4 linked regions of the Callithrix jacchus genome follow. The protein of the gene in region 4 purifies or fractionates together with the protein of the main gene of each other region. This does not show direct contact. Links are inferred from orthologs where the notes say so. Each region holds a gene or a part of one and is shown on either strand. Other genes may lie near its edges.

Region 1 (5,488 bases), on a different chromosome or scaffold from region 4:
ACCTTTTCATGAAGACTTAGAGATTTAAGAAACCATTCTTATATTGTGTACACGTTTTTTTCTTTGACTTTTCTTTGAGGAGTGGTTATGTTTCATAGGAAGAAAATATAAGGAATGTATCAGATCAGGAATTTATACAACTAATTACTTGGACTTCTAATGCAAACACCCCCTCTGCCCTCCATAGTGGAGAAAAGACCCACCATAATCCTTATGGATAATTTCAACATAAAAATTATACATAGTTGTGTGTATATTTCTGCATATGTAAATAGTATAGGAAAAAGTACATTCTATCTATACTGTGTAATATTATTTCTACTTTGACTTTCTGCTTATCAACCAAACTTGCTTGACTGGTTTGACACAGGGAGCACTAGCATACTTCAGCCTCAGATCCTCTTATCTTTCGCCGTGGCAAGAAAGTCACTACCTCAAAACTGCCTTAGTAATCTTTAAATAGCTTGGATAAGAGTAATTCCCAGATTGTAGTTTCAGTCCTCAACCCAATGGCCTAAAGTCCTATCACTCTTCCCAGTGTTCTTTTCTCACTAAACCGCCTACAATGCAAAAAGGCAGGGTAGTCCTTTTTTCCTTCAAGGCAGCCTTGTAGAGATTCAATGTCCAGTTTCCTGATCTACTCTGGGTTTCTAGGGTGACTGTTTTCACTGCAGTCACCTACTTGGTGAGCTTGTGTCTTCTTCAGCTGCTAACCTGATGAGCGCTCTCTGCGCTCTCTTTCATGATCTCAGGTCCTTCAGGAGATCCTCATTCCCTTACCCCGACTCCAATCCTATCACACCTTTTATTCCTTTCTTCCCCACGCTAGACTCCACAATTATTTTCTCAAACTCCTGCTCATAGCCCTTCACGCTTCATTCATTCAACTAACATTTACCGAGTACTGCTTTGTAGTAGTCCTTGGTCATTCAGTAATGTAGTAACCGTGATCCTTGCCCACAATCACACCAGCAATGACACAATCCCTTTGCCAATTTATGTTCTTTCCTGTCCCTGTGGATCTCTAAAACCACACACACACACACACACACACACACACACACACACACACACACACATTTAACTTCGTTATCAAAACCACTCCTACGGTTTGTTCTTCTCTTTTAGTCATCCTACCGGTAACCCTCATCGCACCGCATTTATCACCACTCTGTGGCCCCTACCCGAGCCCCTGATTCCTTTCCATTCTCTGGAGGGCCAATTGCCCTTCCTTTTAACCTTCTGGTTCCCTGGCTATTTCCCCTCTTCCGTCCCTTATCTTGTTTAGTCAGCGGGGGTGGGGGGGTCTCCCTAAAATTCCTTACATTCTGCTCCACTATTACGCTTTCCTCAATCTTTGATCGCTCGGATTACCTCTTTTCTTGCGCCCACGGCTGCCCCCAGGCCCTTGGCCTTTTCGTTGTTTCATGACGAGCCCGAGCTTTTCTTTACAAGCTCAACTCCGTCTCCAGCACCTAAACAATATCCTCCCGCCATCCCTCCCCACCGCGCCTGCGTTCCCCGGCAACTGGCGCCGCTGTGCAGCCTGGGAGGCAGAAAGAAGCGCTCTTCCTCTAACAGACTCCGGACAACGGTGCAAAGAGAAGGCGCCAAGACGTCTTCCCTACAATAGACTACAATACCCAGGATGCTTTGCTACACTACCTCTGCGGGGTTGGCTGGCGGTGCCTCCAGCTGCGCAAGCGCATAGGGATACGCCCTTCGAGGACTCCATTGCCCAGGGTGCATTGCCCTGAAGAGCGCTCCTCTTTCCGGTGAAAGTCGTCGGGTTCCCGGCTGGGAGACTTCGAAGTTCACGGACTCAGTTACCCAGCTTCCTTTGTGGAAGGGCTGTTGCGCACTTCCGGTGGAAGCGCTGAAGCGAGTGGGTGGAGTTTACGGAGCCGGTGGGCGGTAGGCGGTGCTACCGGTATCTGGGTGCTGTCCAAAGGCGACAGGACGTCGTTAGGCGAGCGAGCCGTGACCGGTTGGGCCACACTCAACGTGGGACGAAGCTTCGCCTACTGTTTGACTACGTGCGTGCAACCTCCCCTTAATGTCGGCCCTCGAAAAGAGCATGCACCTCGGCCGCCTTCCCTCTCGCCCACCCCTGCCCGGCAGCGGGGGCAGTCAGAGCGGAGCCAAGATGCGAATGGGGTACGTGACCCATACCCCTTCTCCCTAGGGGCCAGGCCCCAGCCATTGGAGAATGGTGTCTCTGGGCGTCCAGAGAGGCACGGGAAAGGAGTCTACGGATAGGAGAAAATGTTGACGGCGGCCTGGAGACATTTAGATGAAGTAGAAGGCAGATTGGGGGACTAGGGGAGGCGCCAAATCAATGGAAATTGGAGGAAAAATAACGTTATTGACGGTAGAAATGCATGAGGCAAAATTAGGGAAGCTGAGAGTAACATAAGGGATCTGAGAATCGCCTCCGGAAAAAATAGAAAAGGGAGTAGAACGGTGACAAAGGTGGAGGGAAGTGGGGAATGACAGAGAAAAGTTGAGGGGAATTGGGGCAACAACTAAGAAAAGGTTTGGGAGGAGTAGATATTATCACACTTCTAATATCTACACTGTGAGAACTAGATATTAGAAAAGCTGAGGGGAATAGAGAACACCTAAGACAGGGTTGGAGAAGGAAAGAGGAGAACTAGGAAGCAGACGATTCTAGAGAATTCCCAGAGGTGTAAAGGCAGATGCAGGGAATGAGAGGTGAGATTAGGTGTCTTAAGGGAGAATGAGAAAGTTTGGGGAGAGGGCCTAAGGTAAGGTGGAGAACATAGCCACGAAGATTGTTAAGGTAATAGGAATATGCTGAGAAACTGGACAGGATATGGGAGAGAGAGAAGAAGGAGAGGACTAAAGAATTTAGAAAGTGACCATAGGCTCTGAAGATTGAGAAATGACTATAAATACGGTTTGTTGAATGGAAGTGCTGCAGTTGTAAGGTATGGGAAGCTTAAAGAGGAAACTTCGGGCAATCAGTTTTTGCTGGGCCAATAGACTGGAGGGAAGTGATGTACTGGCCTAAGACCTTGAATTAGTGAAGCTTTGGGAGTAACCACTTAAAATGTTTTTGGGGAAATAAGTTTGCTGGAAAAGGAAGAAAACTGTGTTGAAGAGATAGGCCTTGAAATTTTATATCATCAAATGGCTTGTGCCAGGTTAGGGGATACTTGGGCCAAGGAAAAAGAATGAGGTGAACCTGGGAGAAGTAATTGCTGGAAAGCAGAGAGAATTGAATAAGTATTTCATTTTGAGGTGATATTTGTAGTTTCAGACAGGATTCTGGGAATTAGTGACTGTAAAGAGAAAAGGAGTAGGAAGAATACTTAGCTATGAGGAATTGAGAGTGTATTTGGGATTCTAGAGATGAATTGGTAGATATTCTTTGAAAAAGGACTACAGAAGAGAAACCTTAGGTTCTGAAGAAGTAATACGTGTAAAAACTGATCAAAAAGGAGGTGAGAATATGTGATGCAGTACTGTGACAGTAAGTCCTGGGGATGAAAAGAAAGGAGAAGCCTATACAACTGGGGTGAAGGAATGGGAAGAATGGTTGGGAAAAACAGGGAAGGAAACTAAGAACTGAAGTGGAGACCTGCTATGAGACACAGTAGAAAAATGAGAAAACTTTAGCAGAAGATAGATAAATGGATGCACAGTAGAGGAGGTAGAAAGCTACATAGTAGGTAAAGTGAAGATTGTTTTCGCTTTGGAAGACAGAAAGATTGGACTATGACATGAATAAAGATAATTTGGAAACCGACCCATAACATTATTTGGGAAAATTAACCTGGAGTATAATATTAATGTAACAGTAATTGTGGATATATATCTTAATTTCTGCCTTTCTTAAACTAAAATTTGATCTTTCAGTATACCAGCACTCTTCTATACAAATACATAAGAAAAGCAAATTTTTAATAATTATACATTTTTAAGATAAGTTTAATTAGAGCTTAGCTTCTCACTTTGTCAAAACAAGTTCTCTGAAGATTGAAGAACTGGGTGAAAATACTGAGAGAAAATAAAAGGAAAATCTGCTGATTAGAAGATTGCATAATTATTAGTAATTTATCCTTTTTCTTTTTTATTACTTTTCATTTTGTTTTTTTAGAGATAGAGCAAGACTTTGTTGCCCAGGCTGGAGTGCAGTGGCATGATCTCAGCTTACTGCAACTCCTACCTCATGGGTTCAAGTGATTCTTATGACTCAGTCTCCCAAGTAGCTGGGATTACAGGCATGCACCACCACACCCAGCTAATTTTTGTATTTTTAGTAGAGATGCAGTTTCACCATGTTGGCCAGGCTGGTCTTGAACTCCTGGCCTCGGGTGATCTGCCCCAGTTGGCCTCCCAAAGTAGTGGGATTATAGGAGTGAGCTACCATGTCTAGCCAACTTACCCTTTTCTTTTTTTTTTGTCTCTCAAATTTATTTTTTATTTTTATTTTATATTATTTTTTTATTTTACTTTAGGTGTATACTATATCCAGCATTTCTCCCCATGTTATCCCTCCCCACCCCCCACTGCCCCCAGTGTGTGATGCTCCTCTCCCTGAGTCCACATGTTCTCATTGTTCAACACCCACCTATGAGTGAGAACATGCGGTGTTTGGTTTTCTGTTCTTGTGTCAGTTTGCTGAGAATGATGGCTTCCAGATTCATCCAAGTCCCCAACTTATCCTTTTTAAACAGATGCTTTGGTCTTCCTGGTTTAGGTTAACTGTTTGTCCTGGGAAAGAAAGTTCTTTACAAACGTTTTTCTTTATGATAATATTGTGAAGAGAAGAACATATATTGGTGAATATTTGTGTGGTCCTCAAATGGCTTATTTTCCCATATTTTTCTTTTTGATTTTATTGGTACATAAGCAGGCTTCATCTAAGTCTCATGGTAGTAATAATATAGATTATCTTTCCCCTTAGAATCATAAAGGTGAAAGAGAGTGTAGACATGGTCTCATTTCACCACTTCATCATGTAATTGAGGAACCCAACATTCAGAGAGTTCTGTATTCTATAAGGAATGGGGGAAATATATTCTCTTAATAAATGAGCGAACTGAGACTCACATATTCCTAAGGCACCCTAGAAGCTTAGCAGTGGGGCCATTAAAGACTAGGACTTGGGTCCCCTGACTGTGAGACCCACTGTGTATTTTGGAGTCATAATTGTCATTTGGGAATACTTAATTTGAGTTGTGTATCTTATTCCTTTGCAAATAATTTAGGATTCAGTCTTTTTATTCAGTCAGTCATGATTTACAATGTCTCACACCAATTTCAAAGCCTACTTTATGTCATCTTATACTCATTTGCTTTTTTCTTAACTTCCATTCTTTGACTCCCTCATCTATCTGTTACTTGAAAGTTAGTCCTGTTTCCTTGATAGTCTTGTGTGGCTTACTCTTTCAACTATTTTTGATGATCTCTTGCCTTCAATTTCAGTGAACATTATTTAGGCATGTTTCCATATTCAGGG
Region 2 (4,916 bases), on a different chromosome or scaffold from region 4:
CCCCCTTGCGCGTCAGAGTTGTTGTGTGGGCTCTCAGAGGTAGTGCCTGGTGCCTGGGCTGGGGAAGTCACTGTGGGGGTCTCCGTGGTAAGGTTGGGGTGGGGACGGGGGCGTCTTCCTCAGGTGGCAGCTTCGTTGAATGGGGACAAGTTTAGAAAGGGTCTTTTTGGGGGGAATAATTCTTGAGTCCCCACCTGCGGGGGGAGGGCAGGACGGGAGGGTGTCCCAAGACAGATCACTGTGGGGCGGGGGACAGGGATAACCTGGGAGGGGGCTTTGTATGGGGGAAATAATTGGGAAGGGGAAAGAAGGGATGAGGGGGCCTCAGCGGCTCGTCTCTTGTGTATGCAGGGTGGTTCTGTAGCGTGTCTGTGAGATGGCGTACGTGGAAGCCCTGAGGTCGCCCCTACCCGCTGCGGGGTGCTTTCCTGGCCCCAGGAGGGAAGGAAGTGAAACTCTCCTTCCCACCCACCCGGCTGGCTGCGGGTCTGGAAGCCTGGGGCTCCAGCCTGCTCGCGCTGCCGGGGCCGGGGAGGGGGGGGCGTGGCCGGAGTGCAAAGCCCCGCCCCTCCAGCCCGCCCGGAAGCCCGGCTGCCGCCGGCTATGGCGATCACAGGCCCTGTCCTAATATGGGCAACCGGAAGCGGACCGCGCGACTGTCCTACGTCACTCCGTCCAAATTTAGTTGTGGAAGTCAGCGGGCGCCGGTGGCGGGAAGGAGCTGCGAGCCAGTGCGGGCGGGAAGTGGGGGTCGCGCCACTCCTTAAAGGGCCCGTATCGGGAATGAATGGAGCCATTCGAACAATTTTTCATCCTTTTTTGGAGGAATTGAAATTAGGATTTCTTGGAGAGACGGCGCGTAGCGGAGGGTAGGGGGAGGTTTTCTACCTGCTCTGTCTCTGCATTGCTGGGTTTCCAGCTCCCAACCGAACCCCGCCTCCCGGGGCACGGAGGCGGAACTCGGTCCCCTCGTCTGGGGGGGGGGGCGGCAGCCACGTGTTGACCGGGGCTGTCGTGCGCGCCGGGTTTCCTCCAAACCCACCCGTGGAGCTCCTGTCGCGGGAAACTGCGGGGGGAATGGCTCAGTAGGAATCACGGAAACCCGCAGCTCGGGGCGGCTCACCGTTTACAAACAAGGGCTGGCGTACCCTAGAGACCGAAGAGCTGGAGGCCCCAGTGGCCTCCTTTCACAGCAGTAGCAAATATTGTTTGTTTAGCATATCCTGGCCCAGTGACTCTGCCTTGGTTTCCCCACTGGAAGGAAGCAGATAGGACAGTGTCCTCCGCGGGGTGGAGGTGAGGGATCGGTGAGTTATTGATAAAAGGAGCGCTCTTAACCGCGCCTGGTAACTAGTAAGAGCTGTTAGCATGATTATTGGTGCAGAAAACACTCACTAGACACACCTGGTAAATGCTATGAACAGTGCCTACAGGGGATGTTCAGGCTGGAAGCCGGGTCTTCCCCTGTGTGAAGGGAAACTTGCCGCCCACGAGCCACTGGGGCCCCCAGACGGCGAGCATGTGGATGGGCCCTGAGCCGCATCCCCGGACCCCCTCCTCTGGGCCAACGCGCCCAGGCGGAGCTCAAAAAAAGGAGCCCACCGGAGAGCTCAGCGTGGAGTAGGGGGACGCTCCTCCTCGCTAAGGTTTCCGTTCCCTTTCCCTGCTAGGTAAATCGCATTCTGTCGCTTTAAGGAATGTTTGGTCGCGTTGAGTTGGAAAGCCCGGATGCGTCCCTCGGATTGGGCGGGGCGTCTGTGACGTCACTGGGGGTATAAAAGGGCCCGGGTGGCGGGCGCCGGGGCAGAGCGTCCTAGCAGTGTCACTGCGTGGGTTGGTTCGTGGGGAGAGGCGTTAGCGAGCCCGCTGTCCGGAGTGCACCTGCCGCCTGTCCTGTCCGTCCAGGGAGCCCCCGCTGCCGTCGCCGTCGAGTCGCCATGGAAGTGCAGAAGGAGGCACAGCGCATCATGACCCTGTCGGTGTGGAAGATGTATCACTCCCGCATGCAGCGCGGTGGCCTGCGGCTGCACCGAAGTCTGCAGTTGTCGCTGGTCATGCGCAGCGCCCGGGAACTCTACCTCTCGGCCAAGGTGGAGGCCCTCGAACCCGAGGTGTCCTTGCCGCCCGCCTGCCCCTCTGACCCTCGCCTGCACCCGCCCCGGGAAGTCGAGTCCACGGTCGAGACAGCGACCGCCGACGGCGAGCAGCCGTCTCCGGAGCCCATGGACACGCAGGAGGCTCCGACGGCCGAGGAGATCCCCGCCTACTCTGCCCCGCGCCCCGCCAAAGTCAGCCGCAAACGACGCAGCAGCAGCCTGAGGGACGGCGGGGACGCCGGACTCGTCCCGAGCAAGAAAGCCCGTCTGGAAGAAAAGGAGGAAGAGGAGGGGCTGTCATCCGAGGTCGCCGATCGCCTGCAGCCCCCTCCGGCGCAAGCGGAGGGCGCCTTTCCCAACCTGGCCCGGGTCCTGCAGAGGCGCTTCTCGGGCCTTCTGAACTGCAGCCCCGCAGCCCCTCCGACGGCGCCGCCCGCGTGCGAGGCAAAGCCAGCCTGCCGCCCCGCGGACAGCATGCTCAACGTGTTGGTGCGGACGGTGGTGGCCTTTTGAGGACCCCGAGCAGCGCTGCCAGAGCCCAGAGCGCGCGTCGAACCATCGGCCCCAGGGCGCAGATCCGAGGCGAGGTCACCCCCTCCTTCCCGAGGGGAGCGCCCGCGAAAACCGTGGAGAGAAGCCGCCGCCCGGGCTGCTGAGAGGCCCGGAGAAGGGACTCTGTCCCCAGGGAGCCGTCGCCTTCAGTGTGCAGCGACGGCACCGAGGAGTCTGAGCCGGGGGCGCGGGCGCCTTCCGCAGAGACCTGCTGCGCCCACAGGTGCTGTCTTAGTGAACTGGGACGTGGACCTTTCACTCCTGGACTGGGAGAAGGGAGGCTTGGGGTTTTTTTTGTTTGTTTGTTTGCTTTTTTTTTAAGATCTCAGGGTCGGACTTCATTTTGTACTGGGGGCTGTGCTGGCCCTTTGAAGGTTTTTCAAGAGTTGGTTTTGCGTTTCCAACCTCAGAATTCCTGGCGCTCCCCTTCCCCCTCCACTGACATACTTTTGTAAACGGTCATCGTTGCGTCATGGGGCAGGCGTGGGGAGTTTCCTGTCGCCTTGCGTGGGTGTGGGGCCTGGGAGGAGGATCTGGTGCGTGGACCCACCCTGGAGAGTGGGAGGAGAGTGGCCTGAGTCACTTCACCCCCGCGTGCTGCTGGTTGACGTCCCGCGCCTCTGCACCTCGGGTGGGAGCGGGAGCTGATGTAGTTTCACATTCAAAATTTTCTCATCTGGTGCATTAGGAGTGGCTAGGAGGTTCCCCAGGTTCCAGCGTGCCCCTCCCTCAGACACGGACACAACCCAGATGTTCCTGGTCTGAATCACGAGACTATGGAGGGGTGGGGGGGTGGCAGTAGAAAGGCATAAGGCTGAGCTGGGACCAGTTGCTGGTGAAACTGGGCTAGTTTGGGGAGGGGGACATCTTCACCAGGGAGTTTTTGAGGGTCTGTTTACTTTTCCTGCGGTGGATTCTTTTTAATTCCGTCTAACCTGGCGTTTTGTTAGAAATGTCAGGAAAATAAAAGAGCATTTGAGTAAAAAGGCCGGTGCTGTCTGGTTTTCTGCTCTGGTGGGGGAGGGGCGGGGTTAAAGGGTCAGGGGCTGGCGGCGGCCGGCTGGGGCCCCAGGAACCGGTCTGACTGGTTACCACGTGGGCGGGAGAGGGCTGGGCCCCCTTTTCCTCGCCCGGGCATTCCCTAGCTGGTGGAGCCCCAGCCCACCAGATTTGGGGGTTCCCTTGAAATTGTTCTACAACTCCGGGATAGGGGGTTTTCTGAGTTGAGACGTTTGAGGGGTATTGCCAAGCACAGTGTCCAAGCAGAGTTGGGGATCGATCACACTTTGCTTGAAAGATGGCAGATCTCGCCACCTGCTTTCCCGCCCCGACGACCCCCTTAATCAACTGAATCAGCTGCGGCCGGGGTCCTAGTCCTCAGGTGGAGCTGAGCGGGTGCGCTTTGAGGGGCCCTTTACCTGGTCATCGCTGTGTGGCTTAGGAAGGAAGATGCAGCCTCAGTTTCCTCATCTGTGAAATGGGCCTCTATGCAGCTTCTCTCCACCCGGCTTTAGGTTTCTAAAAATGCCCATTGGAGCCCTAGTTATTGGCTTGGGTCACTCCCCAGCTGGAGAATAGCCACCCCGAGAGGTGAAAGTCCTTTCAATATCCCCCACGTCGGTTTAGGAGTGGGGCTGTAGGCGCTGCCCAGGGCGGAGGGAGGAGGGCTGGCAGGAAGACAAAGGAGTCCCAGGTGCGGGGAGTGGTGGCGGCGGGAGGCGCCGGGAAAGCGCTCGCCCCGCCCCTCCGACGGCTGGCTCGGCCGCCGCTGGCTTCCCATTACCCCAGGGGAACTGACCCCCAAGACCGGAAAGTAGAAGGAGGGGCAGGCCAGCCCCAAATCGTCTGCTGGTGGAATCTGGGCGCCCTGGCTCCTCTCCCGCCCAATCCACACCCCTTTCCCCTCCCGTGTGGATTGTGAAGGAGAGCTTCTCACCGCTCTCCCCTAGCCAAGCTCGCCCCCACGGCTGCCTGATTCCTTCTTGGGAACACGTGGGGGAACTTTTAAAAGGCGTCACCTACTCCGAGTCCTAACCCACCCAACTCCCCCACGGGACGTGCGGGCACTGGAGCCGCACACTACAGGCGGTAGCTCATTGCACCCGCGTCGGACTTCCTCCCCTGCGAGCCTGGCCTGGCCCAGCCCGGGGAAGTCCGGGGCCCCTGGGGAGGGGGCCTTGCCCGCATCCTGTCGCAGGAACCGCCGAGCCCTTCCTTCCGCGGGAAGCGGCTTGGTCGACCCCGGCCCCGCCAGGGCCTCTTGGGGGT
Region 3 (5,317 bases), on a different chromosome or scaffold from region 4:
GCTAGAATTATAGTCGCCACACCCAGCTAATTTTTGTACTTTTTTTTTTTTTTTAGTAGAGATGGGGTTTCACCGTATTGGCCAGGTTGGTCTTAAACTCCTGACCTGAAGTGATTTGCCCACCTCAGCCTTCCAAAGTGCTAGGATTACAGGCGTGAGCCACTAGGCACAGCTGATTATCTTTATTTTTTAATTAAAAAAAAAGGCAGCACAGTGAAGTGAAATAATTTTCCAGAGGTCATGCAGCAAGTGAAAGGCAAATCTGGGATTCCAACCCAGGAAGACTGCCTCCACAGTCTGTGTTCTTAACCATTGCTTCATAGCAATGGTTAAGACCAATAACTTGCAAAGAAGAGAAAAGAGAAGAGAAAAATTCTTGCATTTTTACTCAATATATGCTACTTGGTTTTGTAATTATTTGTGACATTATTTTATCTCTTTCTCTATGTAAGCTGAAAATTCCTAGAGGGAAGGAGCTCTGGGGTCTCAGAGCTGCTACCTCAATTACCATCAATTGTGGGCACATCGCATCCCCTGGAGATTATGAATTGGTCATGATCAAGCCCACTCTTCACTGGTATTTTTCCTAAATAAATTCATTGCTTGGTCAACCCCTGGGGCAGGATCAGGCCCGGGGTTCCACATGGACTCCAAGAAAGCAGTGCTTAGTTTTCTCATTCAGATTGTGGCTGAGAGTTGTCATTTATCTTCTGTATAATAAAGCAGATGTGTATGTGACTTCCCCCTTTCCGCAGTGGAGACACTGAAGCGGCCTCAGGTTCTCAGGCAGGTCTGTGGTGGAGTTTGCTGGAACTAACTGGAACTGACTCTATGTTTCCAGTCCAGAACTCTGAGCAACCCTGTGGCAATTCTGCCCTAATACACTTATAAGGACCAGTAGATGGACTAAGGTGTTGACAGACCACAAAATTCTGGAACTCCCTTGCCCTGTATTTTTACCTTGACACAAAATGAAATTATGACATCATCATGGGAACACAGGACTTCTCTCTTTGTATTTTCAGAACTTGCTCGATTTTTCCAAGGGTACACTGGTCAGTCCTTGTAATGGAAAAAAAAAAAAATCATTGTGGAGAACCTGTAACACCTTCCACCTAACCTGTTTGATAACTAGCTTTGCTCTACAATCTGGAGAACAAAGTGAAAGATGCCAGCTTTAGACGACAACCAATAACTTTGTATCTAGACACAATTCCTTGATAAGCCAAAAAAGTAGCCAAAAACTTCTAGAATTCCCCTTTTCTTTAGGGTTAGAACTGACAGCTGCTAAGAGTGTATGTGACTCTATTAGGGAAAGCGGCTCGTCCAAAAATAATAACTGCCAAATACCGTGCAGTAATGCTATTTGTTATCCAGAAGTGTCCTACGCCGCGTATAGCCACCATCTCTATTTTAGAGTTGAGGGGGATGGCTCACAGGTGTGGCTGGCCTGGAAACCGTGGCGTGGCTGGTGAGGGCGGGGTCGATCACGGAAGGATCAGGACTTCATGGCAGAGCAGAGTCCACCACCACACTCGGATGAAAGTTCAAAGATTTTGTTCGCTTTGTTTCTGGCAAGCCATCACACAATCCTGAGTCTGTAACTCTAAACAGTAGCGCCCACGAGCACAGCCCCCGACCCGCACTCCCCCCGGCCCTGGTTGGCGGCCGCACACCCACACCGTAGCCCCCTTTAAGAGCCTGCTCCGCGGGACTAACGTTCGAACGGGCCCTGGCGCCCCTCCTCGGGCTCCGATTGGTCGTGCGCGGCGCACGAGGGCGCGCCGGCCAGCCTCAGAACGGCTGGCATCCCTTCGTGATTGGCGGTCGCGGAGCCTATATAAGGCACGGGACGGCCGGGCTGCCTTGTTTAGCGACCGGACCCGGAGCTGGGCGCTTGTCTGGTGTGGAGCGGCCAGCGGGACAGCGCGCGCGTCACCGCAGTCGTTTCTCTTCGGAGTCTTAGGCGATCGAGGGTGTACCCAGGGGCGGACTTGTTTGTGTTTCCCGTCCCCTCCCGGCTTCCGAACGTGACACCCCGTCACCCCGGCGCCGGCGGCCGTGTGCAGGGGACGCAGGATGGAGTTCAAGCTGGAGGCTCACCGCATCGTCAGCATCTCCCTGGGCAAGATCTACAACTCGCGGGTCCAGCGCGGCGGCATCAAGCTGCATAAGAACCTCCTGGTCTCGCTGGTGCTGCGCAGCGCCCGCCAAGTCTACCTGAGCGATCCGTGCCCCGGCCTCTACCTGGCGGGTCCCGCGGGGATCCCGGCGCCGCCGCCGCAGCAGCTCGGGGAGCCGGCAGCCGGGCCACCCGCCGGCTGGGGAGAGCCGCCCCCGCCTGCCGCCGGTGCCTCCTGGGCGGATACGGAGCCACAGCCGGAGGGCTCCGCGGTCTCAGAGGCGCCGCGGGTGGGGGACGCGGTGCCGGAGGCCACGGTGACCGGAGTCGGGGTCGTTCCTCAGGGCGGAGCCGCGGACGCGGCGAAAGCTGCCTGGAGCCGAGTGGAGGGGCCTCGCCAGGCGGCGGCCGGAGAAGCCGAGGGTCCCGCCGGAGGCTGGGGTGTTTTCCCCTTGGGGTCTCGTGCCTCTCGCCGCCCCTGCGGCTGCCCCCTAGGCGGGGAGGACTCGTCGGGTACACCGGCCGCGACCCCCCGCGCTGCCTGCTGCTGTGCGCCGCGACCCGCCGAGGACGAGCCTCCCGCGCCGCCAGCCGTGTGCCCCAGGAAGCGCGGCGCGGCGGGGGTGGGCGGCGGCCCAACGAGCTTCCCGGCGCCCGGCTCGACCCCGCTCAAGAAGCCCCGCCGGAACCTGGAGCAGCCGCCGAGCGGGGGAGAGGACGACGACACGGAGGAGATGGATACCGGGAACGTGGCTAACCTCATCAGCATCTTTGGTTCCAGCTTCTCGGGACTCTTACGGAAAAGCCCCGGGGGCGGCCGGGAGGAAGAGGAGGGAGAGAAGAGCGGTCCGGAAGCCGCCGAGCCCGGGCAGATCTGCTGCGATAAGCCGGTGCTGAGAGACATGAACCCCTGGAGCACAGCCATCGTGGCCTTCTGAGCCCCTGCCTCCGTGCGGGGAGGAGGTTGAGCAGCGGGCGTCCCCGAAGTGAGGGCCGGGACCCTCCCGGCTGCAGGGACGCCCAGAGACCGCAGGCGCTGAGCGCGTTGGGCAGACTGGTCGCCGCCGGGCATCGCAAACCGCCCCCGGGCGCGGGGGCCCTGCCGGCCCGGGACTCTCGAGGCTTTTCTGGAGACCAGGGAGCTTGAGGCTCATTGGAAGAGGACGATTGTTAACTTTTGTGTTTGTGTATGTCAGTGTGTGTAAGTTTGTCTTGTGGCATTAAGACTATTTTGTCCTTCTGGAATGCACCACTCCTTCCCCGGGGCTTACGAGACTGGGGGCAGACAGGGACTTTCCTCTGCCTACAGCGTGGAGAAGGAAGCGGCTAAAAGGTTTGGGCCGGGGAGTTCCCCATTCGTTCTCCGGAGAGCGAGGGACTTTACACCCACCCCTCACCGGAAAGCTAGACCCGCTTCAGGGCCAGGAGTGGCGTTTCCGCACAGGATTTCCTAAGACGAGAGGGATTTTAGCCACGAGCACCGACTTGAATTCCTTCCCTCCCTCCCCACTTTTCTTTCCCAATGAAGAAACGCTTATGTCCTGTGATTACTCTAGGAAAGGGGAGTATTAACGGCCCTTCGCTTCCCCGCAGGGGTGAAAAAGCTTGATGAACTTCACAGAAGAGTTCAAGCTTGGAAATACGGAGTTTATAGAGAAAAGATATATTTTTAAAAGCTCTAGGTCAGAACTACTACACAGTGCTTTTAAAAAGTGTTTAATGAAAGTTTACAGACAGAAGCCCTAAGTGAAAAGACCTTATGGTTTTGTAGATAAGGTGACTCCAGTCTTTGTTGTATAAAGGTTGGGGGAGCTGATAAGGTTTTTGTACAGTATTTTCTCCTTCGTTGTATTGATTTTTGTATAAAAATGTAACTTCTACGTGTCTAACACGTATTAAATATTTTGAAGCAACGTAACTGCCTCCTTGTCTGTAATAACCTGCCTGGGTTGGGAGGGAAGTGGGAGGAGGGAAACCAGGGCCTGTGCTAGAAAATTGAAGGTGTGGTTCTTGGTATCAGTCACTCGCAGACTGAGGACATTGTTTACTGACTCCACCAAGTATCAAGAGAGACACGTTTAGTTTTTTCTTCTAGATCAGAGGGCCGCTATTAGATAGTAATATCACCGACCTGCCAGGGTCTTGAAACCTGCCATTACAACTGCCTTTTGTAAGGTCAGTTTAGGCCAATTTGACTGTCACCAATACATGGGTGTCCATTTTATTAAGTAATTTAAGCAACTTTTGAAGCCCTGCTCATCCACAAAAATGTTTTTCAGCTTAGTTTCCTGTTATATGGATCATCTTTTCGCTTTATTATTGAAAAAAATTTAGATAGTAGTAGACCTTAAAAGCCTGATGCAACCGACATAGGAAGCTGAAAGAGACTGACTTGTCCAAATTGTCAGGTCCCCCTCTGCATCTCAAAGGGTGTCAGGATGTAAATGTTCAGTTTTTCTCATCTATAGAAAGGAAATGTATAGGTGAAAGGGAAACTGCATCAAACGAGATAAGGAAGGAGGGCATTCTCATTTAGCAAAACTTCCTGATTTGTTTTTGTTACTCAAAAGGTGACATCAGTGTTTGTGTCATGGTAGAAACTTAGGTGATGACAGCCAAAACATTCATTGATTTTACTAAAATCACTGTCATTAAGAGAGCTTTCTGTCTCTTCATCTTCAGTGTTTGAAAGGTATTCAATTTATTTCAGAAGCAAACCGATTAGGGAATGTTTATTAAAATACGGTACAGTTGCCAGGACTTCTTATGGTACTGGTTTCTAACAATTTATGAGTAGGGTGTTTAAAAGATGGGAGAGATTGAAGAAAGAGACAAAGCTTTAAAGGTCATAGCCTTCGAGCATAAGAAACATGAATGGTGCATTGGCCTTAACTGTGAATTATATGAACTTCTGTCATAGCTGAATAGGCCAGTGCCTGGTGCCTTGATATTTCGGCAACTCTATTAGCAGTCACTTAAGCCTAGGGACCTTTCTACTTCATGCTCTGTCACCAGCATAATGTGTTTATAGAACTAACATTCTCAAAGTAGGATCTTGTTAAATCGACTTTTTCTTTCAGAAAGTAGCTACTTAAATGCTGTTATGGCTATGAAAGATCCATCAAGTGCTGACTGCTTAAACTGAAGAAGGTGTCCAGCGCCTTAATTCTGCAAACATTTCCTGTTGCTACAAAG
Region 4 (4,815 bases):
CAAATTATCCCTGCAAAGGATTTTATGCCAGATGGAAACACAGCTTACACACCAAGATAAAACCATTGCAATCTTTCCCATAGTAAGAGCTGATAGTTAAAGGAAAATGAAGCAGTGCAGAATTTCCTAGTGGGAGAACCTGGCCTTCAGACACTGGCTTGAGTTTAAAGACAAGGTTTTCCTCTGTATGTGTGACTTTTGGCAAATTAGTAACATCTCCAGTCTTCGGTTGCATCAGTTTCCTTATTTGAAAATGGAAATAATGGCATCCATTTAACAGGGTTGAGATATACTGAAATGCTATACATAAAGAGCTCGGCACAGTGTTTGGATGCTCATAGAAGATGCTCAAAGATGTTAACTTCAAAGAGGAGGAAATATAGGGAAAGGTAGGGGAGGGCAGTAATTTTCATGCTCAGAATTTAAAAAAAAAGTCCTAGGAAATTTCTTTAATAAATGCACATCATGCATTATTTTGAAAGAGAGAGAGAGGGAGAGAGACTGAGAGAGGGGAGTTTGGGTGAAAGTGTCCTTTAGCATTTGCATTGCTCTTAGCTGGATGAACTTGCCTGCAGCCACCACTTACAATGCAAATTGAGTTTAGAGTCCTTCACACTAACTACACAGCACAAATCTTTCAGCTTTAAATAGAACACTGCAATGTGGAATGATCTGAGCAAATGGAAGAAAAATTCAGAAATACATGTAAGGAGATATTTTGGAGGGAAAAAAAGAACAATCTGACATAACTGAGCAGGTAGGAGGAAACTGTAGAAATATTAAGAGAACCAGAAAAGCAAGATCTGTAGAAGGACCTAGAAGCTAATTTCCCACCCAGTAAGTAGATATAAGTTCATAAAGGGGAAGAAAACTTTTGGGGCAAGTTCCCAGTGAGGAGAATTTTAACAAAGATTCTTTTGATCTGGTGCTCTTTCAAGGTATGCTAACATGTCTTAAGGTATTGGAGGAACAGGGACTCTTCCCCCTCTGGCAGGAAAATTGCATGAATCTTCCCTGAAGCAAATAGGTCAAAACCATAGAGAACTTCTTGCTCTATCCAACTTCTGCTATTTACATCATTTAAGTTATATTTTCCTTTTATTTCCATACCTTCTCTAAAATCAGATTTTAAAACCTGGAAGCTACTGTGAAATAAAGGTTTGTTAGTTTTGAGTGCATTTAGTATGTGTGTGTGTGTTTGAGAAAAAGAAGGAAATCTGAAAGATTAATTCTTACATGTCCGAAAGCTCATTGCTATAAACTCATATCTAATTTTTGACTATATGAACCTAGTTATTCTATCCAGAATCAGAATTTTCAAAAATGCAATAAAAATAAGAACAAAGGTAATACCCAGGGCCCTGAAAGCAATAAAGAATGTCATTTTTAACTGATTTCTTCACAATTGACACTCCTATACACATATCTCCACTTTGGGCATTTTCTCAGCTTGCTAAGTTTCCCTTGCCTGCATAATGTAATATACAAGAAAACATGAAGGCGGCTCTCTTTCTTTGTGGTTACAAACAGAAAGAAATATTCCCGCATGAGCCAACAGACTCAAGGCAACTTCTCTCTTGGATGACATGCTTAGATACAGAGTTAGTCATATGTTATCAGGTCACTGAGTCAGTGACAAAGCACTAAGACTGAGGGAGAACATCTTACAATCAGGTTGCCATCATGTGCAGAAAAAGAATTGGTAAGTACGGTGCTCTGTATAGGGGAGGGATGGTCTGCACATCTTAAAAGCCACCTCTAAGCTCCTAGAGGCCAGAGCTTACAACGCTGCTTTATCTGTCTAGCACCATGGGCATACTAGGCTTGATGCTCTCCAAAAATGATGACAAATGGAGAATATACTTTCAATACCACTGGGCATTCCCTCTAGCTAGAACTTCCAGGGATGTTTATAGAAGATGCCACCTTTGTCCCCAGATGTGTGTGCATCTTTTTATGTCTTTCAGAGCTTGAACCCTTTTACTCCCCCCCATCACATTTCTCTAGGCATCTTTTGATTTGATTAAATATTACAGAAATTTTAGCATCTAAGAATAATAATTTTAAATTAACACTCTTTGCAACATTGTCCTAAAGCACTTCCACATACATTTTCTCGCGTGGATATTATAATGTGGTAATGTAACACTTTGTATGAAGGCTAAGGATAAAGGCCTACAGGTAGAAAATGAAAGCAAAAATGCAAAAGTTTTGGCTTTGGGGGAAAAATGCCTCTACTCTCTATTCACACACAAAAGGCAGAATGAGATTCCACCTGCTGACTTTCCCTCCCTGCCCGCAGAGCACTAGGGCTAAATGTCAGAACAAACTGGGAGAGAGGGAGAGACGACAATTTCATCTCTTGGCAAAGCTCAGCCTGCTGAACCCTCTTGCTTTCTGCTGGCTGTTGATTCAGCAGAAACTACTGCTGCAGAATTCATAATGGTGATTTTTAAAGGCCCCACCGATCGCGTTGCTCGCCCCACGTGTCAGCCTCATTCGCTAGCCGCCAGAGCACGATTTCTCCAGCCACCTTTTTATTTCTGCTAATACACTTCCAAAAGAAAAGAGGTTTTCCCGTTTGCAAAGGGCCTTTTGGGATTTTGATTGTCTGAGCAGGTAACCTGGCCGACCGGGGAGATGAATGGGCAGGAAATGAAACCATGCCCTCCCTGCAGCCACTGTGAGACACAACATCGTTTCGCTCAGGGAGGGGGGACCAAGGTCCTACTGGGCCCCTCCCTTTTTATCTGCCCCAAAGACCCCTGCAAATATCTTAGGGGGAGGGGTCATCTGCCTTCCTGGGGTCATCTTTTCGGGCTAGAGCCCCACCCTGAAAAGCCTAATCCCTGAGGGCCATTTTAACTCCCGTGGGCGCCGGGTCCACCTGCTGCTGAACGCCGGGCTCGCCTCGGGGAGCCCGGATGGATGCGGGGCGCACAGGCGGCTGCCGGGGCCAGCCGAGCCCCCGCCCCAGCCCCGGGCCCGGAGGAGTCTCCGCCACTACGCGCCCAGCTGCCCGAGAAGCACAGTGATCCGCAACTTGCGCCCGGCCCCAGCGGCGGAATGCGGCGGGGCTGGCGTTACCTTCGGTCGCATAGCTGTGGTCACGCAGGAAACTGTTGTTGATTTTGCGGGTATCAATGTCCTCCTCCATTGACAGCAGGCTTACTTGCGTGGGAACCAGAAGCCGGCAGACAAGTATCCATGATCCCTCCCCGCAGCCAGTCTCACAGGAGAGGGGGGCAGGGGAGCCAGTGGGACTGCACCATGGTCCGAGCCTGAGGAGGAGACGGGGAGGCGGAGAGAAAAAAATAAAAACCCGGCAATGGAGCTGTCACCTCCTCCACTCGGGTTCTGTGAGGCTGCGGCGGCTCCTCCCGCGCGGTGCGCTCACTCCAGCTCCAATTCCCAGCGAGGATGCTGCGCTTGCCTCCGCTGCCTCCGGGTGCCAAGATGTGCAGTGCCCCGAGGGGTCTGGTCCCGCCCGCCCGCCCGGGAGGCGCTCACAGGCGGGGCTGGGGAGATGCCCAACAGGTTCCCCTCGTTGGCAGCCGCTCCAAAATGCAAAAAAGATCCCTCCTCCCCCTGGAAGAGCGGGCAGAGGCGACAAAATGGTGCCTTTCTGGACCCGCTGCAGTGGCGAGATGGCAGGGGCAGGATTCAGGCTTGCCTGGCCGGGATGAGGGTGCTGGTCCCACGGGAGGGCGGCTCCGGCAGGCGGGGGTAGGGAAGCTGGCGGGGATCTGGGCAGGGCGCTGTGGCCGGCGCCAGCGCACTCACCCTCACACCCACACGCGCGCACTCGCAGCAGCTGCTGCTGCTGCTGCTGCTGCTGCTGCTGCTGCAGAAGGCTGGAGGCGGCTGGTGCATTAAAGGCGAGGCTCCTCCCAACCGCGTCAGCAGCCCCAGGACTCTTTCCCAGCAGCGGTGGTAGCCGAGGCAGAGGCTGCGGCTGCTCTTTGCTGCAGTGGGGCGCAAGCTGCCGCGAACTGGCACCTGGGCAGCAAGCAGCTAGCTTGCAGGTTCACATGGAACGTATAGACACGCTCTTCCAGCCTCCTCCCCTCTCGGGCCACTCAGCTAAGGGCCGCGTCTACGCTAGCACTTTAGAGCCCCTAGCTCACTGCCTTTCTCCGGACACCTGCACTTGAGAACAGCAAAGAGAAGTAGGTTCCTTTGGATAGTCAGGAAGTCTACATCCAGGTCCCTTTTGCTCACCCTTATATGATGCATGTAGTCTCTTGGTGAAGTTAAAGGATAAGGTTTACGGCTCCAAGCTTCAGAAAAAGAGGAGTGAGTGGAAAGCGCTGCTCAGAGCCTATCTTAAGCCCTCTGTACTAGAAATGGAAGGGAGAGCAGGGGCCAGAACTTTGTAACTGACTCCTCCATTCCTAAAAGTCAAATATCTAACTGTAGGAGGCTGGTATTCAATAAAGCATTTGTGTCTACACAGGTGGAGAAAAGCGTATGACTGAGTTATGAATGTAGTCAACAGGGTCAGTCTGAAAAAGTCCACTCTCCCTTGCCCTTTGCACTTCGTTGTGGACAAAGTAGGCAGCCCCTCTGTTACGTTTTGCGGGTGCAGGAACACCTTCCATTTGCTCTCAGCATGGAAGATACATTGAAGCACAGGAACATAAGCATAAGAGCCCTGTGCCCAGAGAGCCACTGCTACCTGGGGGGATTTTCTGGTAACCAATTAATACAGAAAAGAGACCTGTCTTCCCACTTCAACTAGGAAAAAAATATAGAATTCCACCCCCACCCATGTTTTCCAAAATTTCAAACTCAACTTTTGAAAGAAAATAAGAT

The links. Proteins that work in one complex are often made in the same cells at the same time.
Region 1: the proteins of PPP2R2B (region 4) and PPME1 purify together in Homo sapiens (affinity purification with mass spectrometry; 3 studies listed by BioGRID and IntAct, with this or other methods). This does not show direct contact. The link is inferred for Callithrix jacchus from reciprocal best matches to the Homo sapiens genes PPP2R2B and PPME1.
Region 2: the proteins of PPP2R2B (region 4) and IER2 purify together in Homo sapiens (affinity purification with mass spectrometry; 3 studies listed by BioGRID and IntAct, with this or other methods). This does not show direct contact. The link is inferred for Callithrix jacchus from reciprocal best matches to the Homo sapiens genes PPP2R2B and IER2.
Region 3: the proteins of PPP2R2B (region 4) and IER5 purify together in Homo sapiens (affinity purification with mass spectrometry; 4 studies listed by BioGRID and IntAct, with this or other methods). This does not show direct contact. The link is inferred for Callithrix jacchus from reciprocal best matches to the Homo sapiens genes PPP2R2B and IER5.

What each region holds. Positions count from the first base shown.
Region 1 is NC_133511.1:66,763,108-66,768,595, reverse strand, and holds the start of PPME1 (protein phosphatase methylesterase 1), read left to right. Parts: upstream 1-1,906; 5' UTR 1,907-2,056; coding exon 2,057-2,157; intron 2,158-5,488. Other genes in the region: C2CD3 (C2 domain-containing protein 3), read right to left, coding at 1,666-1,735. UniProt on the Homo sapiens protein: Demethylates proteins that have been reversibly carboxymethylated. Demethylates PPP2CB (in vitro) and PPP2CA. Binding to PPP2CA displaces the manganese ion and inactivates the enzyme.
Region 2 is NC_133523.1:11,972,855-11,977,770, forward strand, and holds IER2 (immediate early response gene 2 protein), read left to right. Parts: upstream 1-1,805; 5' UTR 1,806-1,937; coding exon 1,938-2,609; 3' UTR 2,610-3,634; downstream 3,635-4,916. UniProt on the Homo sapiens protein: DNA-binding protein that seems to act as a transcription factor. Involved in the regulation of neuronal differentiation, acts upon JNK-signaling pathway activation and plays a role in neurite outgrowth in hippocampal cells.
Region 3 is NC_133519.1:39,363,259-39,368,575, forward strand, and holds IER5 (immediate early response gene 5 protein), read left to right. Parts: upstream 1-1,868; 5' UTR 1,869-2,079; coding exon 2,080-3,060; 3' UTR 3,061-4,035; downstream 4,036-5,317. UniProt on the Homo sapiens protein: Plays a role as a transcription factor. Mediates positive transcriptional regulation of several chaperone genes during the heat shock response in a HSF1-dependent manner. Mediates negative transcriptional regulation of CDC25B expression.
Region 4 is NC_133503.1:45,412,714-45,417,528, forward strand, and holds part of PPP2R2B (serine/threonine-protein phosphatase 2A 55 kDa regulatory subunit B beta isoform), read right to left. Parts: intron 3,867-4,815; exon of another isoform or gene 3,674-3,866; intron 3,282-3,673; coding exon 3,088-3,281; intron 1-3,087. UniProt on the Homo sapiens protein: The B regulatory subunit might modulate substrate selectivity and catalytic activity, and might also direct the localization of the catalytic enzyme to a particular subcellular compartment.